Tribolium castaneum: one gene and its partners. The protein of the gene in region 3 purifies or fractionates together with the protein of the main gene of each other region. This does not show direct contact. Links are inferred from orthologs where the notes say so. Each region holds a gene or a part of one and is shown on either strand. Other genes may lie near its edges.

Region 1 (10,863 bases), about 11 Mb from region 3:
CCACAATGTCAGTTGGCAGCCCCTTTCGGGGCGGCCAAGGGAGCCCCCGTGGATCGATGCCGGCGGTCAGTCGCGACCTTGCCCTTGGGCCCCCGCCTACCTTTGAGCAGCGGCAGCGGCTGCAGCTCCACGTCCTGCGAGTTCCTGTACCTGGAGCTGCCTTGCGACTTTTTCGTCTTCTTCTTGAGCGAGCGCTTGGCGAAGGGATCGATCCGATCGACGAACGCCGTGGTCGACATGCTGGCTACTCGATCTGGCTCGGTTTACGCGCGCGACATTTCACCTGGACGTCTACGTCAAACGGCACCAGCCCCCTTCGAACGCATCCTCCAATGACAAGGTGCACGCCCAAAGCCCGGTCGAGGGAACGCAAGCCGAGTCGCCGATCTGGGGCCGCCTCGCGCACCACAACCACAAACAGTTAGCAGGAATCGGCGGAAAGACGCGGAAAATCGAACAACTGCCAAGCGAGTCCAGTATTTTCACCCGCCATCAGCTGGTTGCTTTGACACAAAATACTCGCGTTCAGCCGATCCATGCGCGGTGCGAACACACCAACATCGCGAACGCCGCCCAAAAGACTAGGTTTTGCACAAAGGGGCCACCAAACACCGGGGGTTTAAGCGCTATTGACGGGTTTTTACGCGATTTTTGCACGAACCGATGCCGTAAGTACCTAGGGCTGAAAATAGATGGGGGGTACTGCGCGCACCAAAACACAACTGGTTTTCACAACCAATTCACTCCGACTCGCACCAAACCCAGCCTAGGGCACGCAAAATTCACGCAATGAATTATACTATAGCCAAAACAACCCCCGGGACCTTATTTTCATTAATTTTACGCTAGTCAGATCGTCAATTGACTCGCCAGTAGTCCGACGCGACCAATCATGATCGAGTATTCGTGCCACCCGACCAATCACACGCCACTTCAGACGTCCATCTTATCGAAAATGCCGTTTAATTCAAACTTTGAAAAAATCAAAACACAATTAAATCAAACAAACTTTATTAATTCATCCACGTGTAAAAAACGATACATTTTTGCAGCTCAATGAAACAAACGCCTCAATAAATCACACCTGATCAACCAAATCTAAGGCATGTGTCGTATTTAACAGTTTTAACAACAAATCTACCTTATGACACAAAAAAATACCAATTTACCACATTTTTAAACAAATAAATCCAAACTTGTAATTTTAATGAGTCAAGAAGAGAATGAAAAAATCACAGTGGACCAACCAAACATTGGTCACCCATCAACAGATCGGCACGAAACTAACACAACTGCACCAAATAATTAAATCAGCCAAATTTAATTAACCAAACCCTAAAAATGTGCCATTGGCGCGCTTGTTATCGCATTGATAAATAAATGCCCCACTGGCCGGCTGTAATCTCCTGTCAAGTCCGCCTTAACCTTACATTCCGCGATGCCTCTTTAAGATGCTTCCGTGTCCTGGCTGGTACTGCGGCCGCCAGTACCTCCCCAATGGCAGTCTCAGCGAGTGCGGGTCGTGCCCCCGGGGCTTCCGGCGCAACGACACTACTTTTATTTGCGAGCCGTGCACCGACAGCCCCACGTTCTACGACTGGCTTTATTTGGGGTTTATGGTGCTCCTGGTCCAGATTCTGCACTGGTTTTTCATCGACATGGTGTCGATGCGACGAAGGTGAGCCCCCTATTGCCCGTCACACCTTCACTGTTCGTTGTAGCTTCAAAAAAGACGTCCTAATTTTACACTTGACTGCGCTGGTGGAAGTGGTCATTTCGGGGCTCTTGTCGGTGCTTTTCACGCACCCGTTCGGCGAGTTCCAGGTGCGGAACTGCAGAGTGCGCAGCTTGGCCGATTGGTACACTTTGTTGCATAATCCGGCCCCGGATTATGAGAAGAGGGTGCATTGTACCCAGGAGGCTGTGTATCCCTTGTAGGGCTACTAATTGATTATACTACTTTATTGAGTGTTTTTGTTTTAGGTATACGCTAGTTTTTATTTTTTATGCCCTGACTTTGATTGTTATGCTTTTGATAAGGCCATGGGTTTGCCGGAAATACCTTCCAAGGCAGAGCAAAATGTCGATTTATGCCGCCATGTACTATATACCGATTTTGGTGGTGGTCCATGCCCTAATTGGGGGACTTCTTTGTACGTAATGATTGCGCCAAAAATCACACTTTTGATTGGTTTTGTTCCAGATTATGCGTTCCCAATTTTGGTCGTTATTTTGTCAGTTATTTCGTGTGCTTATCACTTTGCCCTCAAAATCAACCAATCGATTCCCTCACTCATCATAACAACAGTTGTAGACCCGAGAAATGTGGTAATCTTAGTGGGCCATTGGTGTTTACACGCCTATGGTTTAATTTCAATAACTCAGCTTAGTGACCCGACTTTTCACTCATTGTTGCTACTGTTGGTCCCACTGCCGGCTTTTTTTTACATTTTCACGGCCAGGTTTACCGACCCGACAATATTTACGTAATTTATTTTTTAATAATAATAATAAACTAAAAACAGATTTATTTTTTCTCCTCCTGAACCTTCCGCTCCAAATCGCTAATTAGCGAATCGATTTCCTCAACTGAGAAAACCTTCTTCTTCACAAATCTATTGTTTAAGTGGCTTTTGTCCTAAAAATTTCACTAAAAAGGGAGGGAAATCTCTCAAAAAGCTTACCCAAAAATTGATATATTCGGGCGAAATCGTTTCAAGGAACAATATCCGGTCTTCTAGTTTCTTCAAACGGGTGTAGATATTTTTCGGGGTTGGGGTGGTCAAACTGAGTTGGATTTCCAGGTTTTGGAGGCGCTCCTCAATGCCGTTTTGGGGGATGTATTTGGTCAGGTAGTCCGAATTTGTTTGGTCGCGGTGGTAAGTGTTCAAAACCCGACTTACTGCAAAAAAATTAGTCTGAAATACTTGTTTTTCGAAAATCGTCCGAAAAGTAGCACTTTTCCCCGACATTTTTTGCTAAATTTATAGAGGGTTAGTCTGTTAAAAATATATTTCTCGTGTTGACCGTGCAGTTTCTTTGCTCTTTTTTTTCAGTCAATTTTTACTCGGCGCCATGGCCTCCTTGATGTATTATTTTTAACGAAGTTGTCTGCATACATCAAGGAGGTCATGCTCGGCACATTTGTGTCCTGTCCGTAAAGTCTTAATTTTTTCGTTAATTTTTTTATTTTCAGATAAAAATGTGTTCTCTAAACATTAATGAAAAATGTCTGGTGCCAAATAGAATAACCCTGTGCAGTTGTATACTTTTAGCAGACTTGTAAAAATTGGAATAAAAATCGTAAAATTGTGATTTTTTAAGGGCCACGAACCTTGCAAATGGCCATTGGAGTCTTTGCGTTTTTGCAAAACCGCATCGACTCGGGCGCAAGTGAACTCTGAACTTCGATTACTTGTGCAAAACTCTCTCACATTGCTTATGTTGATTTCGTTTCGCTTCATCTCCATAAAATTCTCGATTCGTTTGCTCAAGTCCGCGTTTGAGGCCTTGATTTGAATCAAATGGGGCGAAACGTTGGGAATTTCGACTTTGGGCTCGATTTCGAGCTTGAATTTTTTCGGTTTGGGGGCTATAAATGAGAGCCAATCAATTTTAGACTTTATTTACTTGACCACCCACATTCTTTATTTTCCTTCCACTGTGGAGGAGTTTCAGTTTCAGCGTAAATCTCCTTTTTCCAAATAGGCACACTCTCTTTAACCTTGTTGATGCACCAGTCGGTGGCTTGCAGCGCCTCGGTACGGTGGGGGGACGCGATTGCAATTACAATGCTAGCCTCCTTGACCCCCACAACCCCCAGTCTGTTAAACAAAAAAAAATCAAAATTTGGCCCCAATTTAAATTTTTCAAACCTGTGATAGATTGCGATATTTTCGACTTGAGGCCACTTGGCCCTGATCTCCCCGCACACTTTTTCGAGACACTTCAAAGCCATGGCTTCGTACGCCTCGTACTCCAATTTAAGGACGGTTTTTTCCCCGAAACTGTCTCTGGTGGTCCCCATAAAAACCGAGACTGCGCCACATTTCGGCGAGGCGACTAGATCAGTCAACGCCTCAACACTTAGCTTGTCTTCGGTGAATTTCAAAAAATTCATTTTGGGGCCCTAACCGCCACTCAGAGGTGGGATTATTGCTACTTCGTCGCCCTGTTTTAACACAATTTCGACACTTTCCACGTCGCAAAACTCCTCATTGAGGGAGAGAATAATGTTTTGGGCAATTTCGGCCAAAAAATACGTGCCGACGAGTGTTTCTAAAAGCTTTTTGTAGGAGATGGGGGACGGCAGGTCAAGTTCGGCGGATTTTTGGCCCACGATTTCTCTCGATTTAGCGAAAAACAACACTTTGACGGTCACTAACATATCATAGTGTTGTTGCGCTTACATAATCACCGAATTGAAGCAAAATAATTACTTTTATCACTACTCTGTTTATATTTGAAACGACATATTTAGAGCGCAAGTTGTCAAATTTTTAACCTCACTTTCTTACGAATAAAATGCAATTAAAAATCTTTTTTTCGAATGCTTTGGAAGCTGTTTCCTTTTTTCCTGACAAGAATGCTCTAAACCTAATTTGCTGGACAAATTAGTTAATAATTTGACTAATTAGAGCAATCCTTAAATGTATTGCTAATTGTTTTTTTACAGCCGTAAAAAAAGGTCCCAATGGCTGTTTGTCCGAACATGATTTTTTACAGTCGAAGGCCCTAACGAAGGGCTTAATTTCCTGCAAAAATAAAGAACATTGCAGGATATAACGGGGGTGAAAAAAAAAAACAAAATAATTAAAAACGTAACGAGAACAGCTTGTTTTATTTAAACTTGGGCAATTATTGCCCCCGAAAATGCGCTTTGCTATGACAACAATTGTTTGATCAATCAAACGTTATGGAGTCGCTCCAAAGGCCCCAAATAATCTGCCACGTGCAGCAAGCCCTGAACTACACCGTCCACGACGTCAAGTGGATCCCCTGTTCCGCGAAATTCGTCTCAATCGGGGGCAAATCAAACGGGGCTGGAATTATCGAGACCTACTCAATCAGTGGTGATGGGATCGAAAAAGTGGCCGAATTCGGCAAGAAAGACCACTTTAAATGCGGCACGTTTCACGCCTCGAGTTTAAGAGACCGCCACCTTGCGACTGGCGACTTCAGCGGGCGGTTACAAGTCTGGTAAGTCGTCCAAAAGTTGGCCAAAATTTTTAAGTCTCGTAGGGATTTGGAGGAGAATTTAATCCCGATTTATAAGACGGAGAAGCACCGCGGGGTCATTAACGCCATTGATGGAGTTGCGGGGGTTGCCAGTGGGTGCGGGGCCCCCGAAATAGCCACCGGATCTAAAGACGGTACTGTAATTTTTTATTGAAAGTCATTGCTCGAACATTTTTAGGGGCTGTCATGGTGTGGGACATTCGGCAAAAAGACACCCCCGTGGCCAAGTTCTGCCAAAGCGAGGGCTCCCAAGGCCGCGATTGTTGGAGCGTAGCTTTCGGAAACTCGTACAATAACGAAGAACGAGTCGTAGCAGCGGGTTACGATAACGGCGATTTGAAAATCTACGACCTCCGGAACATGTCGGTAAAATGGTCCAAATGCCTCAAAAACGGAATCGTTTCGCTTCAATTCGACCGCAAAGACATTCCCATGAACAAATTGGTTGCCACAACTCTGGAGTCGAAAATTTTCTGTTTCGATGTGCGCACCCATCACCCCACTAAAGGGTACGCCCAAGTGGTCGAAAAGGCGCACAATTCGACCATCTGGTGCGCCCAACATTTGCCCCAAAACCGGGAGATTTTCATGACTACGGGGGGCACCGGATCGCTCTGTTTGTGGAAATAGTGAGTGTGTCAATTGTTACGACTCAAACCAACGGTCTTTGTAGCAATTATCCGGACCGGAGGGTGGAAAAGGACGCTGATGGGCTGGAATATGGGGTGGCAGGGGAGTTGCTTCTGCTGCAAAACAGCACTTTGAGCGACCAGCCCATCACGAGCTTTGACTGGTGCCCCGAGAAGGCCGGGCTGTCGGTGTGCTCAGCCTTCGACCAAACCATCAGAGTCTTAATTACGACAAAACTAAATTTGTATTAATTTTAATGAATAAAATGACCCTAACCTCAATCACTTGACTTTGACAATCAGTCAACCACGTGACACAAATCCGGCCGTTTGATTGGCCAGTTGTGACAACAACTGTCATTACAAGTGTCAAAGTGACATTTCAATAATTCAAAGTTCAGTTTTTGGTGAAAGTTCGTAAAAATGGGTAACCGCTCGTCTCTGCTGCTCCGTGAGGAGGAAATCGCCCAAATCCAGGAGGAAACAGGATGTGAGTACGCCCATGTTTCGTTTCCTTGTAACCGCAAATGTAGTCACCCCCAACCAAATCGAGCGTCTCTACTCCCGTTTCACGTCCCTGGACCGTGGGGATTGTGGCACTTTGAGCCGCGACGATTTCCTCCGAATTCCCGAGCTCGCAATCAACCCTTTGGGCGAGAGAATCGTCAATTCGTTTTTCCAGGAGGAAGGCTTGAACGATAGGGTGAATTTCAGGCAGTTTATGCGCGTTTTGGCCCACTTTAGACCCATCAAGAAGAACAAAGAGAATAAACTGAACTCGAGGGAGGAGAAGCTGAGATGTAAGCGAATCAAAATCAAGGGGTGACGCTTTATTGAGTTTTTCCAGTCGCTTTCAAAATGTACGACCTTGATAACGACGATATGATCTCAAAGGAGGAGCTTTTGGCGATCTTGCACATGATGGTGGGGGCCAACATCAGCGAGGAACAGTTGACCAGTATTGCAGAGCGCACTATCGTGGAGGCTGATGAAGACAGAGACCAAATGATTTCATTCGAGGAGTTTTGTAATGCGTTACAAAGGACGGATGTCGCCCAAAAAATGAGCATTCGCTTCCTGAACTAGGCGTGTAATGTATGTGTAATATATTTATTATAATTGTAACACTTAACCAGAGATATTTTCTTGTTACTATTGTACTTAATAAATAAGAATAAAGTAGTTTAAGCCGTTGAAGAGACCGCCAGTTTCTTCAAATGATCCATAAACACTTGCAACGAGACGTCGTCGGTCAAAACCGGGGCCCCGCCGTCCTGTAACACAAAATTTTGTTACACGTCTGAAGCAAGCGAAGCGAGTGAAAGCGATAAAACCACCCGATTAGTAACAAATACTACTACAAAAATTACACCTTTAACCCCACAAAAAATAAAAAAAATAAATACCGCACTCGCAGGTACCGCCTAAAATCCACCAAACACAGAATTAAAACACAAACAAAACACACAAAAGTGGTACTCACCCCTCCGTACGCGTACATATTGTTATGTGTTTGGCTCGGGTTGACTTTCGATAGTAAAAACCTGGCTTGGGAGCCCCCTTGTTCCGTGTCGATGTACCTAGGCATGGGGAACCTCGTCTGGAGGATTTCCTGGGCGTCATCCACCGGTGCTTGTAACAATTGCCGGAAATTCTCGTACTCTGGCATGTCCTGGTACTTGAGGTTCCTCCATTGGGCGATTGTCTCACCGTGGAAAATCAAAATTTGGAAAAATGTGTCCATGAGAAGGATTCGATCGGGTTGAATGGAACTAGTGTCGAGGAGGACGGGTTCAGGGGGGCCGTTGAAACTATAACTGTATAAAATCGGCTGGATCATAATGAGACTTTGGGTGAGGTCCTCCCGCATCAGCATGTGGCGGTAGAACGAGGTCTCGTCTGGGGAGTTGTTGAAAACTTGGAGGAATTGGGAGCGGCGCAAATGGTACATGAATTGGGGATAGAGACTGAAGTTTTCACTCAAACGGAAACTGTTAGGGTCGTCTTTGTTGTATTCGCCGAATTTTTGGCACTAGAAATAATAAAGTTCGAAATTTTGATTAATTAATTTTTAACTGTTGTATTACCAGACGAATTAACATACGGTCGACCCATCGCAACACATCGGGGCTTTCGTCGGTTTCAGCTCGATAAACGGCCATGCGGGCCATTAAAACAGCCGCCGCTTCCTGGTCAAAGCCGGCGCTGATGTGGTGGATGTTGGCCGTGGCATCGGCCCAATTTCGGGCGATGGTTGTAACGCGAATGCGCCTCTGGCCGCTCGAATGCTAAGAAAAAAATTGTTAATAATTTCCTTTCCTTCAATTGAATCATTTACTTGATATTGTGTTATGAACTGAATGCATCCACGGCCTCCTTGCGGTATGGGGGCCGAATGTTGATTGACCACTTCGAAAAATAGGGCAATTGTTGCACTCGGCGTCAAAGTGCACATTTTCCATTGGACTGTGTTACCCATTCCGATTTCAGTGTCCGAAACGAGGGGACTTTTCACATTGAGGGACACACAAGAGCCAATACCTCCTTGCACTAGAAAATAAATAAATCAACTTTCTAATAAATTCGAGAAAATTGCAAACAAAAGTAGAAATAGGCAAAATAAAAAAATATAATTAAAAAACTATTGACGCCAATCGATCATTTTACATTTTACATCTAATAGTTTTGCGTAATTATGAAAATAAAAAAATTTAAAAATTTGCGATTGTTTTTTGTCGATTTCCTGCACTTTACCTTTGAGTTCCCTTGAACACTTGACTTCCAGTGTGGCATTGAAGGCCATTTTCAGCTCATTCTTGGCATCTCTTGCAAAAACCCGCTGAAACGTTTGTTTAAAAAGCGACGAATTGAACGAGTCCCCCATAACCATATGCCCCCTAAAACCCCAAAAATCATTACAAAAAACACCCCCCAAAAAAATTACCCCGTCGAATTGCAACACTGCTTCATCTCCATCAGCCCCGTTTGGTCCAAAGCACACGAATAAATATCAACACAATGCCCATTAGTGGCAGCCCTCATAGCCAACCCCTCATAATGCTTGATCGCCTTCTTCATATACTTGGCGTTATCTTTCTGAATATCATGATGCGACCTGATTGGTTGTTTCAAATCGTCGTTAACCACCTGACCCGGCCCTTGCGAGCAGGGCCCCCCTAGGAACATCATAACCCGGGCCCCCGTATTGGCATACGTGCACTCAAGGAGCCCTATTGCTATGGACAAGGCCGCCCCTGTTGATCTCAAGGGCCGCTTGCCTTGCCCCACAGGCCAGGGGTCTCTTTGCAGCTCCCCGATCAAATCAGTCAGACTCATATCGCACTTTGAGATGGGTTGGAGGAACCGACTGGCGGGCGGGATGGGGGCTTGCGGGGCCCCTCGCTGGGGCTGCGCCACGGCCACTTTCCCAATCCCGAGCATCTCCTGGATTTGTTTAGCTGTCAGGTCTTTGGTCCCCCGAAAAACGTACGATTTGCTACAGCCCTCAGTGCCCAGTTCGTGAACTTGGACCATTTTCCCGAATGTGATGAGCCCTATGAGGGCCGTCGGCGGGAGAAGGCTCAAAGACATCTGAAGCGAGTCTTTAAGGGCCCCCAGCTCCTCCTCGTCCATGCACGTATCGACGACTAGGAGGTAGATGGGGGGCAGGCATTGGGCGCGTGTTATTGTGTACTCAATGGTGGAGAACATTGGCATGAGTTCGGCCGGTTGGTGTTGCTCGGAAATGGCCGCATATTGAGGCGGAAACTTTAATTTTTTATGTAAAAAAATATTTAATTTAAATTATCTTTTTACCGGATTCCGTTGGAAACAGAAATTGCAAACCCACAGCTTTGCCCGGTAGTCGACTTGACACAGCGGGTTCAGAATCGCACGACAGTTGTTACGGGTACATAGGACAGGGTCGTATTGGATGGGGGGCAGGTCTTGGCGCTCCTTGATGGGTTGGTAGAGACAACCGAGGGGGACCACCAAACGGGTGGCTTCGATGCGACTCGACGGCCACACGTTCCAAGTGAAACGGATGCCGTCGCGGTCCTCATTCTGCTGGATGTATTCTTCGTAGGTGGCCATCTGAGCAGCCCCCTTGTTACTTGGGCGAATTTTACGATTTTGTTGAGACTTACCGCAGAACGGCTTATGCCAAGTGGTCACAAACACAAAAAACGCGTCAAATGCTTGATTTTAATTTATTTTAAAAGTTTAAAAAAACATTTTACATTTGTTACACATTTCAAGATCCACGTCATATGTCACCTGTCACTGGTGGCGACATCTATGGCTCACAACAAGGCTATTGAAAATTTTGTTAAAAAATCGCTAATTTGGGGCTGAATTACGTCACGACCGCGTGTAATTGGTCGTTTTTTTAATAAATAAACTGTAACGACAAGTTTTTACAAATTTGGACGATATGTGAAGAAATAAACGATTTTTTTTCGTGGTGTTACTTCAGCCACTTCAAAAACAATTAAAGCCTTTAATTAATTAAAGAATTACTAATTCAATTGGAATTACTTCACCGTTTCGTCGCTTAATAATTATTTTGTCCATGAAAGTGGTTTAAAAAATGGGGGAAAGTGTATTCCTGACGTCACTCTAGCCATTTTGGCTACCAAAGAAATGGTCAATTTAATTCAAAAAACTACTAGCTTGATGTAGTATCATGTCATGGTTTTGTACAATTAATTACTTAGTACTTAAAAGGGCGTTTTTCTCAAATATTGGGGGGAAAGTCAAATTTTTTTCTGTAGCGTCACCTTAGCCACAGTGCGTCAACAAAATTAAAGAATTTATTTACAAAACCGTTGGTTCAAGGTAAATTTAAATACGGGAACTGAGCAATGAGTCACCTTGTTGATGATACACTTTAATAAGTCGCTTTTTGCAGCAAATGGGTGCAAATCAAATTTTTCCATGACGTGCCTTCAGCCACTTGCAGCGAATCAATTCAGCTGTCACAAAAGTCTAAATT
Region 2 (7,257 bases), on a different chromosome or scaffold from region 3:
TTTTTTGTTTTTCATTTTTTGCATAAAAATTTTGGCACCATTTGTCGTCATTTCCTCAAATTCCGTATTTAGTTGAATTTTTTGCATTTTTTTTCGTTCCTTTTATGGAACTTTATAAACTTCTCAATTTTTTTATTTATTTGAAACTTTTTCACATTTTTTGCGGTTGTTTGCGAAAAAAACAGTGAAAATTTCCGTTCCTAGCCAACCCGAAGACGCCATCAAAGCCCTCGGCGACTTCCAGCACGTCTCCCGCCCCGTTGCAATTTCCTTCAAAGAAATGACAACACTAATGCGCCAATGCCAACAAGTCGAAGACGGCAAATCGGTACACGACGAACTGGCCAAAAACATCACCGCGCACCCAATCGCCGGCCGGGGAATCCTCGCCAACAACCCGTTTGTCCTCCTCAGCGGCATCATCCCTGGTAATCCCCGGCAGTCGTACCAACCCAATTTTCCCAACACAGTCAATTTCAGGGACGAAGTGGTGCGGCACGGGCGACATCGCCAAGGACTACTACGACCTGGGGGCCGAGCCCACCGTTGATAAGTGCTGCAGAGCGCACGATTTGTGTCCCGTTAAAGTTAGGGCTTTTTCACAAAGATATAACATAACGAATGATTCGTTATACACGAAATCGCATTGTTTGTGCGACGATCAGCTGTATTCGTGTCTCAAGGAAAATCCCTCGCCCACGGCGCACATTATGGGGACCATTTATTTTAATTTAGTGCAAATCCCCTGCTTGGAGGATACGCAGCACGGGAAAGTGTTCAGGAAGCCGAAAGAGAGGTTCTAAGCTCAATCAAGTGCCTAATTTCAATAAATTATTTTAAGTAAAATGGCGTTTTATTTGGATTTGAATTTGGGTGCGTTGGTACGCCTGTCAGAAAATACAGACCCGTAGTTCGTGAACTGTACCACCTTACTGTTATTTTCGATTTTTTAACGTAACTCAAGTTAATATAACGCACTTTTGTGTTGGAAAATAGTGAAATAAGTGATAAAAATTTAAAAAAATCAAGTTATGATAAATTTTGGATTTGGTAGGTTGGTACGTAAATAGTGAAAAGCGGTAATAAAATATAAAAATCGGCAAAATTTCTATCATTTGGGCAATTTCGCACAATCGCATTTTATACAGGACCTTTGAGTTATCATAATATTTGAAATTGGTCCAATTTTCGCCCAACAAAAAATTAGGTTATGTCATATTTTCGCAGTAAAATTCAAGAAAAAACGCTCAATTTCATACTCATAGTGCCATTTGCTATGTTATGATCGACTTTATGTATCAACATTGGGGACAAGAAAATAATTGGGTGAAATAAAACTCAAAAAGTAAGGTTATGTCACTCAAACTTTATTTACAATTAGGAATTAAATAATACATATTTACAAAGACAAAGTCTCGATTTGTTTGATCAAGTCCATGTGTTTGAACTCGTCGGGGCGCTTGGTGAACCGCTCCATCAGTTCCAAGTGTGCTTCTGTGGGCCTTACGTAATACAATTGCAACTGATTTGCGAGACACTGGGCCTCCTTCAAATCAATAACATTCTTGTCGTACTCTCCTCGCATCAAGACGATTTTTTTCTCGTCCTTTAGTTCGGTGTAGTGCGTCATTGTGAGGCACTCGGGGGCGTTCTCCTTGTGCACCTGATAGTACAAAAGGGGGGTAAAGTGGACGCAGTTTCGCTCAAACTGCGACATTATAAACTCGTAACCCTCTTTGCGAGGCAAGGCGAAGAGAAACGTAGGGTATTGGCGCCCCCTTGCCTCCAGTTCGTTGTAATCTTCCACAGGGACAACCGCCGCAATGTAGTTCTTCTGTATGTGGTACTGGTGCCAAATCTCCTTAATTTCCTCCGGGGTTTTATCCTTAATTAAGTCAAGTTTCATGACTTTGTCTAAGGGGGCCTCCGAGGCCTCCACAGAACCGAGCGGTTTTTTCGGGTTTAATAGTTGCGAGAACTTGCCTTCAGTGATCGTTTCGGGCTTCTTTTTCGGGGCTTTGGCCTTCTTGAGTTCGTCCATTCGGGAGAGGAACTCCTGGGGGGAGGTTTTTTGTAGTTTGGCGATTTTGTCCGCGTATTTCTCGTAGTAGGCATTTTTGGAAAGCTCGTCCAAGGCCTTTTCGCACCGCGATTGGGTCGTCATCAGACCTCTTACGAATTTACAGGAGTATTTTGAAAAATATCGCAAAAAAGCTAGGTTAGGAAGCCTGGCCATACTTGTGACAAGTTTAGGGTTTTTTGGATTTGTCACCAATTTGTGGTTCAAAAATTATAAAAATAAAGCAATTTGCACTCTTAATTTTATTATTAAATGCGATGGAAATGTAAGACTAAGTTGCTACGTTTGAGTAACGTATTATTAAGGCGTGTTTTCAGTGTTAATGCAAACAGCGCGACTTTGAGTAATTTCGAGGTTATGAAACACCTACAACGGATTAAGGACAGCCGGAAAAAACACAAGGGGCAATTAGCGACGATTACGTATGAGGTGATTAGATTAAGTGGCCGTAAATGGGCCGACTTTCATTCATCAATTTTTTCGTAGACTTTGCGTTACTTGGAAAATACTCCTTGTGCCCAACAAAGCCCACAGTCAATTACTGAGTGTTTGAAGGACTTGGAGCCGTTTAATTTGAACAAAAATGAGAAATTAATGCTGATTAATTCGCCCCCTACGACGGCTTTAGAGATTCAATTGGTTGGTCTTACGCAAAATTTGACTATTTCTAAGTGTGTTTTCTAGATGATTGAAGAAAGTGAAGAAAGGCTCACGGAAGAACAAGTTGAGCAAATTTTACAGATCGTGCTTCAGCACTTCCCCCACATCCAAAAAAGCCAAGAAAACGAAACAACAGAGGAGCAGGAATAATTTTGTGATTGTATTAGGATAGTAAATAATAAAACACTGGCGTGAAAAACGACATAATGTATTGAGAATAAGTATAAATACACGAATTTATGATAAGTTATCGCTTTTGGTCACCCAAATCCTCAATCAAGTCCTCATCAATCTGCAACAAAAACAAGTGCCCCTATAACTAGTGACTTTTTTCGGTCAGTGTGGTACCTCTGGCCATTTTTCGGGAATCACATCAAACAAATCGTCCTTGACGTCCCCCTGGATCACAATTTCGTCCTCACCTGTGACTGAAGACCCACACGCAAACCTGGTCCCGAAAAATTTCGCCGCAACTTTCAGATCAATATCTACAAAAACGCGTCAAACAAGACACTCAGGGCCCCCTAACCCCCCTACCAAACCCACTAAGCCCCGTAACCACGGTAACCGACTTCTTCTTGCCGCGGGGGGCCCTCGACACACACACCTGCTTCGGCCCGTCCTCCTTCTTCTTCGTCTTGATCATGCCTTTACCCCCACGTTTCTGACGCTTTTTTTCCTCTTCAGCGCCACCTCCCTCGCCCGCCTCGTCCCCGATTTTCACTTTTTCGAACTCATCGGGCAAGTTACGCTCGAGCCATTGTTTGCATTTGTCATACTCGGGGTAATACTCGCAATACTGGGGCAAGAATTAGTTCGGAAGGTCTGAAGGGGCGACAACTAACCTCAATCGGCATCGAACAGTTGCCACAGTAGATCACTTGCAAGGGGTACGTCACCCCCGTTCTGGGGCCCATCTGGAGCTTCTCTTCCACCGACATTATGGCCAAAAAATGAAATTTTTGAGAAACAAACCTAACCCCAAAATAGACACGGTCGTGTAGATCTTGCGTTGGCGACACTGATTCACTAAGCACTGACACTATTTTTTCAAAAAATTTATTATTTTGGGCGATTAATTGAATACGGCTCAAGAAATTGGCCAACCACCAATTTTGTAACCGAAAATTGCGCCCAAATATTTTTTTAAACGTGTTTTAATTGTTTAAAATCGAAATTGGTCACGTTCTGGCACCACTGACTGTCAATCCGAATGTCAACAAGTTTCAAACAATCTCGAATAAAATCATGAAAAAAACGGGAAATGTGTGTATTTGCACAACTAAAAACGGGCAGACAAGGTAACAGAGTGATAATTTTTGCAGAAATGGTTAGGTTTGTCGCTTGACTTGGAAAACGGGGCCCAGAATGGCCATCCCCCCAAACCTGCAATCCCTTCGAAAAACGGCACTTCGGACCTGTCCCCAGTGCCTAAAAAACGCAGCTTTAACTTTCACCAACGCCTGGCGCCGAAAACGGTGCCCGACTTGGCCGTTCATTCGAAAAAAATCGCCGAAGTCGAGCACTGGTTACAAAACAACGTCTGTGATAATAAAAACAATTCTGTAAGTCATTGCCCTTTTGAATCATCACGTGACGTTGAATTTCAGCCGAATGCGAAATTCTTGTTGATTTCGGGGCCCCCAGGGTCGGGCAAATCAATCACCATTCAGGTTTTGTGCAAAAAATTATCAATTGATATAACTGAATGGGTGAACCCCCTAGACCAGGATTTTGAGGTTTGTCGGGGGGCGAATCAAGTGACCCGGTTCGTTGAGTTTTTGACCGAATCCAAATGGAATTCTTTATTTTCCACAGGCAACAAAAAAGTGATTTTAGTTGAGGAGTTTCCAAACACGTTTTTGAGGAATTGTGACGAGTTTGGGCCAGTTTTAGAGTAATTGAGCTAGTTTTTGGTCCAAATAATTAATTTGGTTGGTTCCAGGGAGTGTTACTACAAGGGGAATTACCCGGTTATTTTCGTGTGTACGGACACTTTCGATAATAAAATTAATCTAAGCGAGAAATTATTTAGTGAGGACGTAAGGGTTAAGTATAAAATTGCGACGATTAGTTTCAACGGTTGCGCCCCAACTTTGATGAAGAGTGCCCTGAAAAGGGCCCAAAACCTCGTGCAGGGGAATCCCGATTTATTTAAAATTCCGTCTCAAAGTACAGTCACTGCCATCATTTCCACAGCCATGGGCGACTTGAAATGCGCCCTAAATCAGTATTATTTTGCCGCCCTTTTAGGTAAAAAATCACCCCCCATCCCCCAACTGTCTCACAAAAAAATTCCAGGAACTTCAGACCTGCCAACGATCCAAACCCAAAAATCGGGCACCAAACGCAAACGTGATTCGTCCACTTCGATTCAAATAATGTCACGTGACGAAAATTTGGGCCTTTTTCACGCCCTTGGCCGCGTTTTGAACCCGAAGTTGGGCGAAAATGGCCGACTTGCGTGCGATTTTGACCGATTGGTCAACGAATTCACAACACAGCCTGGGCTTTTCACAGGGTTTTTGTTCGAAAATTACTTGAAATATTTTGGGGATTTGGTGGATGCCAGTCAAGGCAGTGAGAATTTGAGTTTGGGTCAAACATTTCTAGAAAAGTTGGTCGATCGACATGATATTCTCGACTATGCGATTTGGGTCTCCGTCTTGGGCTTGATGGTACATAATGGGCATAAGGTGTCGCGATGGAACCAAATCAAGGGCCCCACCAAGGTGCAAAAGTGGGTTTTGTGGTCTTTTTTTGGCGTTTTTTGATGGGTTTGTTTGCAGGGTTGTGCCAAATCGCGAGGTTTCAGTGACTGATCTTTATTACTACAACGTGATTAACAATAAGACTAATTCGGGCTTTGTATTGTCGTGATTAATAAATTTGAATTTGGCGCCTTAGTATTGTCTTTTTCTCTCTCTAACTTGTTTTTACCCCTATCTTTTCTCTCTCTCGCCTGGCAGATGACATTTCAAACGTCACGTCAAATGTCACTTGTCAAAATCGGGGAGTTATCGAAAATTTTTCTAGAAAAACAAATAATTTCATTGTGTGAGTACCAAAACCGTGCGAAATGTCTCTAAACACGGCTCATATAAACGGCGGTGTTTTAATACACGCCGGTGAGAGGTAAGCAACTTCTATCCAGACGTTTCGCCCCCTTTAACGCATCGTTAGGATTTTACTGTTCGCGGACGACGTCAGCATCGAATGGTCGGGTCAGGGGGACCCCACATTCAAAGGCACCAAAACCGGCCGCTTCTACCTAACCACCCACCGACTTGTCTTCAACAACAAGAGCGGCAGCGACCCCATGCAAAGTTTCAGTTTCCCGTTTGTAACACTGAGTGAGGTACGTTCGCCCCCCTTTCACTCATCATTTGTAACAAGGGGGCTGTAGGTCGAGATCGAGCAACCCGTCTTTGGCGCCAACTACATCAAGGGCAAAGTCAGGGCGCAGCCCAACGGCAACTGGATTGGCGAGGCCAAGTTCAAATTCACTTTCAAGCGTGGGGGCGCCATCGACTTTGGCCAGGCGATGCTCAAAGCCGCATATTTGGGTGAGTTGTGCAACATTTTGCAACGAAATTTAAACTTTTTCTTTAATTTAATCTCCCAATAAATAAGTAGGCGATGATAAAAACATCACGTGACCGTTGCGTTGCTAAGCAACGTTATTGTTTTTTTTCGTTTCAATCGAGTGACCTTGGCATTTTGTGGTGCCAGTTGTAGGAATTTCAATCAAACAAAAAAAACACCAAACTGGAAATAGAAACGATACTCAACTATTTAATAAAAATTGCAAATTTAATTATAATTGAGTTAAATTGTTTCAATTAGCCGATTTAGGTGGTGTAACAGGTGAAACTACCGGTAAAATGTTTTAAGGCTAGTTTCGTTTCGAATCAGGGCGAAAACACAAGTGTTACACTGTTATTTTTTTATTCAGTTTCATTTAATTAACAAAAATAGGTACAATAGGTGAGGAATTATTATTATTTTATTATTCGGAGTCGTTTTCCACCTTAATTTCTCTAATTTCTGGTGAATCCGCCTCCTGGTTCGCAATCGTGCTGGAAATGCTGATATTTTTGCTGAATTTCTTGTTAGAAATCGTACTCATGTGCGTCTTGAAGTGTTTGTGAATGTTGGACATGATCCAGAATCCGTTCTGATTTCTGAAAATTTTCACGTCTTTGAGACAAATACAGCACGTGATGTAACACTGATTTGAATCTTCGCTTGAAATTTCGGCCCGCATTTTAGACATTTCTCGTGTCACGTAAGCCGACTCCTCATTGGTCAGATTGCGTGAGCAAAAGTTTATTATCCAATTAGAAATGAGCGCTAGAATGTTTTGTTTTTCGCTTTCGAAATCGCGTTGTTCGTCTGTTTTTTGACGTTTCGTCGGTGCTTCACACGTGTCCCCCGTGTGACGTTTTTTCCATGAAAAGCTGCGATAAAATTGTGCCATTTCGAGGAGGATTTTCCGATGACCGGAAAATATCGTA
Region 3 (11,428 bases):
TCAAGTAGCATCCATCCACAGATTATTAGCTATGTAAAGAAGAAAATATAAACACATATAAACAAAAGATACGAAAAGTGTGGGCACTATCTTGAGAAACACAGGACTTTGCTCTCTTTATTTGTTTAATGCTTGTATCTAATTGTTTTTGTAGTTATAGTCGCAAAGAAATAATCCCAGGAGTTAATTTATTTATTAAAAAAAATATTATCTGGGTAGCTGGTACGTAATTATTTGATTATCTTTTAAGACATAAACACAATAATTGCGAAATCCTGTTCGAAAAACCGTAGTCATACGGCCTTGATGTTTTTTTTAATCAAAATCTGTCTTTTAGACGGTCTTACAAATTAAGCGAAAGATTGAGCTTCCAATTTGTTATTTTCGGTACGTAAACGAGTCGTTTTTCCTTGTTTCGATCGATTTCGGGTAACATGCGAGGAAAATGTAATTACATAATGTAAAATACCCATTGTTTAAATCTTGCACTGAAAAGTTGTTACAAAAATCTGAAAAATTATCAGCCCGCGCTATGAATTAATTCAGGTTGCGACATTCGATTTAGATTATTTTTTAATTAGAAGTTAAAAGATTTCGTTAAATTATGTAATAAATATGGCAAACAGGCCCAAATCTATGATTATGATTAATGCCCTATTTCAGTTTCTTCGCTCATTGCTGTTACGCACGGCTGAATACTGAACGTTTATTTTTTTTAATTGATAATCTATTTTCTTATTTAAAACACCCAGCAGTGTGAACAAATCCAATTTTAAAAAACGCGCGTTTTTTTAAGTGTCCATGTCAACATTAATAACCCCAGAAACGAGAAGTATAACTTTTTAATGATTTTTTATTATAATGACAATCAATTCCATGACAACGAAAGTGTACCAATAAAAAAATAACCTAAAGTATTCGTGGATTTAAAACACTTCCTCTGTCGCGCGTGTTTTAAAGACCTCAGTATGCACTATAAAAACGCCAACGTCGCATTTTCTCTCAAAATTATCTATAATAAATTATTCATGCACTTCAAAAAAATAATAGATAACGTAATTTGCTCTTTCAATCAGAGATCTAATCATTAATAAATAATAACAATTTTACAATTTATCAATCTTATAAAAAATAATTTGGTAAAATGCGACGTTGACTTTTTTATAGTTTTGAAACAGCTTGCTTATACAGCGTTGGGTAAAAGTATGGAACTAAGCGTTTTGTGCCTAAATTATGTGCCTTACGAAGAAAACAATTAGTACATCAGCAAGTACCATAAAAATGTGATCATTTTTAAAATGGCACCCCACCACGGCGATTTTTTTGGTAAAAAACTATGGTCAAGAAATTACTTCAAATTCAATAATATTGTAATTAAACCAGTGGCTCTCGGAAAATAAATTTTATTTAAGTTGCATTCCGATCTCGATGCGAAGGTTTTTCAAACTTGGCCGAACGCAACTTTAATAACTTAAAAAAAAAACACGGGTTCAAAAACAAAATTATTGAATTAGAAGTAATTTTTAAAGCATAATCTTTTACCAAAAAAATGTCCGTAGTACGGTGCCATTTGAAAAAACATTGTTTTTTAAATAACTGGAAAACTGATTTAAAAAAAAAAAAAAAAGTCTAGGGGTCCAGCCCCCCCCTCCAACTTTTATTTGTTTTTTTTGTAAATACAATAAAAGACTAATGAACAAAAGTTTTTAAAAAATAACATTAACATTTATTAATAAATTAATAAATAAACTATTACCTGTGCTATTACTTAATAAAATACAATAAAATAAAATGAAATGTAAAACAAGAAAATTTTATTTTATGTTTAGTTCTTTTTACGTGCAGAAATTTTTATTACTTAAACAACTGTAATTAAACATTCCCTGTTGTATTATGATGATAACAACACCTATATCCAAAAATGCACAAAATATAGGGTGTTTTATTTAAAAACATATAAGACTGCATTATAAAATTTTTTGGATAAAAATTTTTGGGGCTTCATTTTTTGCAAATTTATTTAAATATTTTAACATACCGATAGTAAAAGTTTCATTCAATAGCTTAACCTTCACATGTCTAAAAATTTTTGGAAGCCCCCCCACCCCAAAAAAAAATTATTTCAGGATCCGCCACTAATCGCAAAGGAGGTAATGCCATTTAAAATTTATAGAAATTGTTTTTATTATTATAAAGGGGGTCGGTGCAACAACTTTCAAAACTACACTAAAAGAAGTAAAAGGTGCCTCCTGTAAATAAAAATTGACCTATTTATATCTAAATTTTTTTCTTTTTTTCTGAGATCTTCTACGTGGCTCGTTGATAAAAAATAATCCTGGATTTAAGAGTATTTAAGTATTTAAGAGTACGCGTTGATTTTTCGTGTAATTATTAGCTTATGATACACAGCAAAAATATTTTTATAAGATTCACCTTGCATGTAACATTAAAATTTATCTTTTGTTTTATGATGATGAATTAAAGAAAAAACGCAAAAAGTGTCTTCTATGTGTTTATTGTTTCGTACTACGTATCTTTCTTATTTCTTATCGAGAATCTTGTTAAGATGATGCAAGAAATCCAAAAATCAAGTTCTAATCGTTTTGTTTCAGCTTATTTTTAACGAAAACCCGCCTTATTATTTCAATGAATTCGTTAACTCATTTCTTTTTTCCTTTACTATTTTTTTACCGTAACTGAAAGTATAATTTATGAAAACACAGATTAAATTGAAAATTAGTATCAAAATAGAAAATAATAATAATTAATTATCAAACTTTATTGATGTATTTTCCTTAAATTTCTGTTGCTTTTCGTACATAATACAGTACATATTAAAAGAGATCAGATCCATCGTCAAAGTATAATGTATATGTTTTTTAAAAATGTTTTTGTAGATTTTTGCTAACAAAGTAGTTTTTTGGAGAAAAATTGCTAAGAACATAATGAGGCCAATTTCACAATTACTACTAAGATGAAATTTTAAGCAGATTCACCTTGTCCGCATAAGGAAAATATAAAAGTATTTGCTTTAAATCAAGATTAATCACTAGCAAGTTTGTCTAAAATTCTTGAATTGAAAACATACTCGTAATGACAATGCACAATAATCGTACTTACTTTTGGTCTAATCACAGGTTTATTCCATAAATGGAAAAAATATAAGACACTTTTTCCAAAGGTTTTATCGGTAAGGACTGGTAAATATTTTGCCACCGCCTGACGGACTTATAAAGCTCTTATAAAACCAAGGAATAAACAAACACATTCCGCAACATATTTTTCAATATCGGTCATTAACTACTGTCACATTTTATCAAATGTGCAATAAAAGGTGAACTTTCCTGCAGATGACTTTTACTTTGTATAAAGACTCAAACCACTAATGGTGGCTGTATTTCTCTTTCAGACACTTCAAAAACAAAAGACAAAAGGTAACTAATTCACATGTTAGGATAATGATAGGTAAGAGAATATAAAACTGTTAGTAAACCAGCAACTTCAGTAAAAGGATAAATAAATGTTAGTAACAAAAGGAAAAGCAAAGTAAAAATTCAAACTTTTAATAGAAAATAAATACAAAAAAATGATAATTATCTAGAGGAAACTACACTAAACTACAATTTGCTTACATCTACTTCCCCGAGGAATGCAACGAGCAGTTGTTGTGGTACACCACGGAAAACAGGCTGTTAGAGCATCGAAATGTTCGTATGTGTCACTAATAACTGCAAATAACCACCACCTTTAGCCAGATTGTCATGCTAGTATTAAGAACAACTACAAGTAATTTGATTACCATGCAAGCATGTGTCGTTATCAATTTATTTACAATGTTGAGAAAACATGATTAGTAATAATAAGGACCAATCATTATCTAAATATTTTTCTGGTAATCAAAAACCAACAAAGTTACAAACATGCCCATCTACTGGTTTATAGAAAAATCGACTTACTAGCATTTGAAACTTCTTTAACATATTGCATGGCAATCCTTTTTAAATAATCAGCGTGCTCCTCCGCCACAAAAAACCCCATAAAATTTGGAGAAGTATACGTTTCTAGTTTTAGGGGCTCGTTCAACATAGCGCCCTGCCTTTCCATTACGGACTTTAGGCTTTGCGCCAGATGTAGGGCGTCTTCATCAGGCGCCTGTTACACATCATTAAACGAATTCAAAATTTATCAAATGAAATACCTTAAAAAACGAAACTAGCGTAATGTGCGGCGTGAAATTGTGGGCCCCGTTCCAGGCGCATTCCCTGTGCGACTTCTCCCAGAAGGTCTGTAACTGTTCCAGGAAAGGTCCCGTGGGACACGCATATAAAATGTACTCCCTTGGAGAGTTATCGTCCAGCAATGGGTCATTTACGTGGGCCAGTAACCAGTCGGAGGCCAACTGCACGCCCCTGTTACCAGTGGCAGCTAAGGCCTTTTCGCTGTGTGTAATTTCAAGTTACCCGAAAGTTTATTATCATTTTGTTTACTCACGCTCTGTGTTTGGGGAACCCCATCTGGAGGAGGATTTGTAGCGGGGTCAGGTGCTGTTTGGATATTTTTGTAGGTGTGGGGTTCCTCCTAGGGGGTAGTGTTGCCATTTTCATTTAATAAATTATTAATTTCAACTAGGTTAAAGTTTGGTGTTGACACTTCTAGTGGACCTTTGACATTTAAACAGTGACGTTTTTGTTTTGGTTTTGTTTGGGGAATTGGCCTTTCAGATGGCGGCACTGGTTGGAACACTGTCAAGTGTTGATGTCTGTCAAAATTTGCCCATTTTCATAAGAAAGTATTAAAGTGTGTTAATTTTTTATTATTTACACGTTATTCGACGATGGCAGGTGTCCTGTTTGAAGATATATTCAACGTGAAAGATATTGATCCTGAGGGAAAGAAATTTGATCGAGGTAAGTGGCTTTTATCGTCTGTTTGTTTGGATGTGTGACCGGCGTTTTTGAGGTTATGTTTTAACGTTTCGTAAAATTGCTCGAAATTGTGTTAAATTTTGAATGTATTTAAAGTTTACATCTTGTCTCATTTACCTCTGAATTTGGAAAGCGTGTGTATGTGGTTATTAATACGATAATACCGTCCTACTCTAAATATTGGTTATACCCCCCCACCTGTGTCCTAGTTGTGGCATCGATTGGTCTTTTTTAATGCATTAAGAATAAAACCAATAAAAACAGGCAGATAGAATAGATTTTTTTTGGTTAGAATTAATTACTTGAAGGACTTATATTAATAGAATTATGCAAAATTAGTCTTACAAAATTTTACTTTTATACTAATAATTTTTTAACGTATTAATTTTTGTTTAATACTTGTGTGGTTTGTAGGTGGTGTGTATGGGTGACATGGGCCGGCCCCCATTTTTGTTAAAACTGTTCGCTGTTTGAATCATTTGTGAAGACTGATGAATTACATGAATTAATTGTAATACAAAAAGCAATAAAATACATATTAAGAAACACGTAGGGGTTTAGAGCATTCTAGCTGGGATAATAAATGGATATATTAATTACACTAGTTTACAATTTTTTTTCTTTTACTAAGAAATCATTTCTACTAGGTAATTTTGTTTTCTACTTACTCACTGATAACAAAAATATACAGGCTATTTGGCAACACAGTATTAAAAAAACATTTAGGGTGTATCAAAATTGGCGAATTCCGAGTTCTGAGCACTGTAGAGAATTGCTTTAGTAGTCCAAACATCGAAAAGAGTTATTAATAATACGGGAGCAAAAACAAAAACTTAAAGTTCGAGAACTTTAAAAGCGTTTTCGCATGAGTGTTATTAAATTTTTTTTTTTGGAATATTTGAACTTAAATGAAAACACGTTGCTATGGGAAAAGCGTTTTAAAATAGTGTTTAAAATCTAGGATTCAGATATTAAAAAGAAGGCTTCAAATGTTACCAACAAAAAAATATTCGGGGCTGCCTCACAAAGATACATTGGTTTGAAGATTACTCTTTGAACTGCGTTTTTTTTAATTCAGCCTATATGTTTCAGTGTTTATTCTTATTTGTGGTGACGATGATTGTGAAGAATAATAACTGTGAACGATTTCTCAAAAAACTAGCTTTATTATTTTATATTTATATTTATTTTTTTATATTATTTTGGAGTTTTTAAAATCTTAATTTTTTTAATTTGCCGTTTTGTTTTTAAGAAAAATTACAAAAATTTAAATTTTTTACTCTAAAATGAAGCTGATTTTTTGAAATATTGTTTTACATTATTATCTTCCACAATCATCTACATCATAAGTAATAAAAATGAAAATAATGAAAAATTTTTAGCCTTCATTTGAAGAAAACGCAATTCAAAGTGAGCTGACGTGCACCTTCAAACCACTGTATCCTTGTGGGGAAGTTCCGAATCTTTATTTTGTTTTTACATTTAGTCTAGTGAAGTGATTCTTTACAACGCTCTGACCTCGGAATTTGTCAATTTTGAAACATCCTGTATGTTACATTTTTCTATCACATCTAGTTTTTTTTTAATGTTCACTAAAAGTTTTGAAAATTGGTTTCTGGTGTCTAATTTAGCATCCGTTGTTTCTGTGATGAACTAATTGTTAAACATTTTATTTGCTTTAAAATATCATTAAGTGAATGTATTAGACTTACCGATACGCATTGGTTTCATCTATTGGCAAAAAACGTTGTAAACTAGTGTTATTAGGAACTGAAATGAATAAAGAGAAGAAATACAAAGTAAAAAATTAAACCGACGTTTAGAAATATTACACTTCGAATTTTCCAAGTTAATACATTTTATTAAGTACTCCTACACATTTCAAAATGATAAAAATGCGATTTATTTTTGTTTCTATCATATTGAAATTAAATTGTTAAAAAGAAAAAGAAAATCAGTTGTTCCAGTAAAAATTAGTTAAAAATATTACAGGTAATAACACTGTAACAAAAAGTGAAAATTTTTGTTTTTATTCTGTATTATTACTATTATTAGTGTTTATTGAAAGCATAGGTCTTTTTGAATAAATTTTTGGTCACAATTTATTTTTAGTGTCGGTCTGCGAAAAAAAAGTGGGGGTTGACAATTTTTGATTTTACTCAAATTTAATAAGATGTTGTGATGTTATCCATGAAAAAGATTAATAATTAGCCACAAAACAACTTGTAACTTGATTAAATGTAACGAAAAGAACACAAATTAGTTATTAATAACAGAAAATTTGGTGGCACAACGCCAGTGGTCCTAAATTATGTTTAAAAAATCTAGTCATACATGCCTGCTTACTGGATGGTTCTAACAGGTGAAAAATGGGGTCTTCACTGTTCAATGTTATAACGAAATATGTCCAATTTTTGTCATTTTGAGAAAAATATAGAAACGTATGCTATAAAGTCCCTCTCTTTCAAATGCAATAATTGTTTTTGCAATAGAGTGGTTTATTTAGATGTTATTAAACAATTTTGTTATAACACCGAAAATTTGTGAACATTTGTTCAGCAGAATAATGAGATAAGTCAGTCAATCGTTTTCTCTCTATAAGTCTACAAATTACTATTAAATGTAAAGTAATATAAAAAACTATAAATTACATCTGACCTTTCATTTTGTGTGTTTTCTATAAATTTAAAGACAGTATTTTTAAAGGAGTGGTTTTTATTAAACAAAAACATTAAAATAGTGGTTCGTTCTAGCTCTTGGGGTTAAAGGTATTTCCATTTAAAAACAACAACTCAAAAAAATGTATATGTTTATATCACTCATAGAGACTACTGTAAAAATTTCATTAATTTATTGACCTCTTCCTGGTGGACGACGTATAAAAAAATAATGGTATATGAAAGAACAAGTTTCATACATAAGACCAGTCGTAAAGCACGAATTTAGTTTTTTTAGCCTTTTTTTGTCGTTTTTATACAAAAATTGTTATTAGGGATTTTTGGGACAGTTGGTAATGTCTCAATTTTGAAAGTGAAAAATTGATTTAAAATTTTTGTTTTATCAAAATTTTGTCAAAAAACAACAAAACAACTAAACTCAAAACTGGTCTAAGTGGATTTATTTCGTTATAGTACTGAACACTAAATAATTTGCTATATTTGAAGAACCGGTTTATAGAAGTCATTAATTTAATTCGCAATTAAATGCGTGATTAACTGATCACATGACCAAATTGAACAAATGTGATTGGTTCATTCGCGTTGTTAACTTTCAACAACGAATTAAATTTTCACAAAGCTTTCTATAAACCGGACCTTAAGGAATTAAAAGTGCCTTGTATGTAATTTGCAGTACTGGTAAAATAAACTTTTGTGTTACACAGTTTAATAAATTCTAGTTATAAATAAGCTATAGGTTATAGCATTTTTTGTCCTTAGTTGTAATTAATGCTTATCATTTACAATGATATAAAATACTTGTACGTTCGCAGAATGGAAAGGTGTGATATTTATTAAGTTTTAGATAGTGATGTTTAGAAATGACGGAAAGATTTAGAACAAGAGATAGTAAGAAAAGTGTAATAGAGGAAACGCAAAATCTAGTGTAGCAATGTTCTTTTATTCTTTTAAAATTATGGGAAATAAGTAATGAAATTTTAAAAATTGACCTGACACACAATGGTGAACTGGTTCATGGTATGGAAACTTGTATGGAAAACATGTTATTCTTGTAAAACGTTATTTGAATAAAACATGACAATATTCACGGAAATGCTGAACAATTAATTCCCGTAAAGATGTTAAATTAGAGAATTGTATTTTTTGTTAAGACTACCTGTTGGTAAACATAAAATAGGTTCTACATCTGTTAGGCTCAGCTAAATACACAAACAACATATTTATGTATGCATTCTATTTTTTATAACGGAAAATAATATAATTATGAGTTGCTGATCCGTTGTAACACATTTTAACTAAAAACACGTACAAACGTGGCTTTGAAACGCGTGAATAAAAAGTCGTCATTTATTTTAACGATTTTTCTAAATTGGTTGGTTATAAACCTATTAAGGAACTTCAGATAAAAATGTGGGCACATTTTTAAATTTGTTTGAATTAGTTTGGTGCTCATTTACGTTTGTGGTTAAATGTTAAATGTATTTATATTGATTGTTCAATATGTAACCAAGTTCAGGTTTTCACGGACCTGTCATCATTCTTTAATTGTCTGATGGGGGCCGGGATTAATGCAATTTTGAAGTGATAATTTTTACAATACTTTTTTTGGATTTAAGTGACACTTTTCTAAGGAGAAGGTTTCCGTCCTATGGAAATTTAATGACCACTCAAATTCAAATTTGGATCAATTGATAGCTCTCGTGATAAGGAACAATTCGTATCATTGCGCCAACCTGTAACTTTTGAAATAAAGGCGGAATAAAAATTAAAAAATTATTTGATCAACATTTTGAAACGTGGGACTTTGGGTAACGCGATAACATTATTTTCGTTGTAAATTCAGGTATTCTTGGTAAAAATTACGAAATTGATGTCGTTCTTCCTTTGACAAAAAAATGTAAAATCCCATTTAGCTTCATGAAATGTACTGAAATGGACATGTGCGATTTCTTTATCTTGAACTCTATTTGTCATCTCGAAAAGATTCCTTATTAGGTTCTCAGTTTCTTTCTGTGTCCGTTGTGTCGGTAAATATAGCATGAGATGAATGAGGAGGCCGCTTATCTGTATCACAAAGGCAACATGGAGGTAACTGAGAACATGTTGAAACCGGACGTTTTCCTGTTTTGTCGTGAGATGGTGAAAATCGGGTGTAGGGGTGAACGGTGACCTAGACCCGGTAACCTTGACCGTCACCACAGATACAGCTGGATCGATCGTATGTTTTACGACGACGCGCATGTCCTTCGTTCGTTCTCTCCTGCTTTGAAAACCGCGACCTGCATCTCCCCGTTCCTGCTGCTGCTGCTGTACTCAGAAATGAGAAGCAGCCATGCACCGCCTTCACTCCCAGACCCCACTAATGAACATTGTATTATGAGGATCGCCATGTCAATAACAGAATCAACTTGCTTTGCTATCAATGAAATGAAAGAGGTCGTTATGAAAGAAGTCATTTATTTGCACTATTATTACTGCAATTCTTTATTAGGAATTACGGACAAAAATAAACATCTCTGATTGCTGAATATCATCAAGGACTTATTTTAAGAATCAGGATTGCTGCACATTTATCTACTCAAAGCAAATTCTTGATAGCTACACCAGTCCACCCACTAGGTTACATTCTGAGGATGACACTAATTTACAACATCAACATTTTTAACTAGACACACCTAGATGCATCGTAGAATAATTCGCCCTAAGTTTGATACTGAAGTCGAAAAAAATTGGAACGTCAAGTTTTTTAAATACTACCTATTTATTAGAAATTATCAGTATTTGATAATTTTTGCAAAATCGAAAGTGTCACAGACCGCTTTTTCTTTGTACTATCCATGTTAGTGTAAGTCTTGATGGAAACGTTCACCATGTTTATCGCTTTTAAGCTTCGTAGGATAATTTTACCACAAACATTGTAAAAGTTGTTTGGGCTCACTTTACATTCATTTTAGGACATTTTAAGGCAAACAATTTTTTAACAACTTTCCAGTACAGCAGTCTTTTCAACAAATCTAATAAATATATTTAAAAATTGATTCTCCTTTATTTTCTAATTTCTTAATAGTATATTAAAAAACAAGTTTCATATGTCTAGTCTTAAGGCACGAATTGCTTCCCTATAAAGATACATGGTTTAAAGATCACTCTTTGAACTGCGGTTTTTCCAAATGCAGACTAAAAGTTTCAGTGTTTATTCTTCTTTACGGTGAAGATGATTGTGGAGAATAATAATGTAAAATTTTTCAAAAAAAAGCATTATACGAGATTCGAATTAGAGTCATTCTGGACCGATCTGCTTACCTCCTGAAACTTAATTTTTACCAAGTATAATATCTAAAGGAATGTATTGCGAATGGGTTGTCTAAAAAATATGTTCAAGGCTATGATTAAGGGGGCTAAAAAGAGTTAAATTTTAGCCATTTTTTGCTCTGATTTACGGCTGTTTTACGTTACATTTCTGAAACTGATTTACAGGATAAATTCTTCTACTCGGGCTGTAGGGGAGAAAGTTTTTTAAAATTAATTTAGAAAATATTTTTGAAAACTGAAAAAAATCTAATCTAATTCCTCTTTGAAAATCATTTTCCATCAACAATAAGTGTTAAAGGGAAAATAAAATACTTTTGGCCATGAAGTAGACTCTTAGGAATACAGAATGATTTTTATTGATACACTAGTGATAAATGAGTAAACAGAAACTACAGTCAGTGTAAATTATCTTTTGGTAAAAAATTGTAAGCTTGTGTGATGACTCTGATGACCACCTTATGGTCGATACACGTGTCTGATGTATTAATAAAGCTATTTTGAAGACGAGTTTTT

The links.
Region 1: the proteins of Polr2H (region 3) and Wdr92 purify together in Homo sapiens (affinity purification with mass spectrometry; 3 studies listed by BioGRID and IntAct, with this or other methods). This does not show direct contact. The link is inferred for Tribolium castaneum from reciprocal best matches to the Homo sapiens genes POLR2H and DNAAF10.
Region 2: the proteins of Polr2H (region 3) and Polr3I purify together in Homo sapiens (affinity purification with mass spectrometry; 3 studies listed by BioGRID and IntAct, with this or other methods). This does not show direct contact. The link is inferred for Tribolium castaneum from reciprocal best matches to the Homo sapiens genes POLR2H and CRCP.

Annotation. Positions count from the first base shown.
Region 1 is NC_087396.1:21,500,315-21,511,177, reverse strand, and holds Wdr92 (dynein axonemal assembly factor 10), read left to right. Parts: upstream 1-4,915; coding exon 4,916-5,199; intron 5,200-5,241; coding exon 5,242-5,372; intron 5,373-5,416; coding exon 5,417-5,867; intron 5,868-5,911; coding exon 5,912-6,119; 3' UTR 6,120-6,149; downstream 6,150-10,863. Other genes in the region: wdb (serine/threonine-protein phosphatase 2A 56 kDa regulatory subunit epsilon isoform), read right to left, coding at 101-239; JNK1/MAPK8-associated membrane protein, read left to right, coding at 1,452-1,678, 1,722-1,934, 1,984-2,153, 2,204-2,490; Mocs2B (molybdopterin synthase catalytic subunit), read right to left, coding at 2,528-2,638, 2,685-2,902, 3,335-3,592, 3,643-3,824, 3,876-4,120; Mocs2A (molybdopterin synthase sulfur carrier subunit), read right to left, coding at 4,130-4,387; elm (calcineurin B homologous protein 1), read left to right, coding at 6,291-6,357, 6,401-6,667, 6,715-6,953; Sec23 (protein transport protein Sec23A), read right to left, coding at 7,052-7,141, 7,274-7,291, 7,351-7,899, 7,955-8,155, 8,206-8,417, 8,622-8,764, 8,812-9,635, 9,684-9,962. UniProt on the Homo sapiens protein: Key assembly factor specifically required for the stability of axonemal dynein heavy chains in cytoplasm.
Region 2 is NC_087399.1:3,366,140-3,373,396, forward strand, and holds Polr3I (DNA-directed RNA polymerase III subunit RPC9), read left to right. Parts: upstream 1-2,236; 5' UTR 2,237-2,337; coding exon 2,338-2,345; intron 2,346-2,397; coding exon 2,398-2,509; intron 2,510-2,566; coding exon 2,567-2,719; intron 2,720-2,764; coding exon 2,765-2,890; 3' UTR 2,891-2,986; downstream 2,987-7,257. Other genes in the region: ATP synthase mitochondrial F1 complex assembly factor 1, read right to left, coding at 1,400-2,236; DENR (density-regulated protein homolog), read right to left, coding at 2,988-3,032, 3,089-3,228, 3,278-3,539, 3,586-3,681; cell cycle checkpoint protein RAD17, read left to right, coding at 3,989-4,006, 4,066-4,305, 4,351-4,637, 4,686-4,993, 5,042-5,480, 5,530-5,620; Wbp2 (WW domain-binding protein 2), read left to right, coding at 5,820-5,875, 5,924-6,098, 6,147-6,306. UniProt on the Homo sapiens protein: DNA-dependent RNA polymerase catalyzes the transcription of DNA into RNA using the four ribonucleoside triphosphates as substrates.
Region 3 is NC_087396.1:10,328,900-10,340,327, reverse strand, and holds the start of Polr2H (DNA-directed RNA polymerases I, II, and III subunit RPABC3), read left to right. Parts: upstream 1-4,771; 5' UTR 4,772-4,834; coding exon 4,835-4,907; intron 4,908-11,428. Other genes in the region: Epp (ecdysteroid-phosphate phosphatase), read right to left, coding at 3,633-3,728, 3,957-4,152, 4,199-4,439, 4,492-4,604. UniProt on the Homo sapiens protein: DNA-dependent RNA polymerase catalyzes the transcription of DNA into RNA using the four ribonucleoside triphosphates as substrates.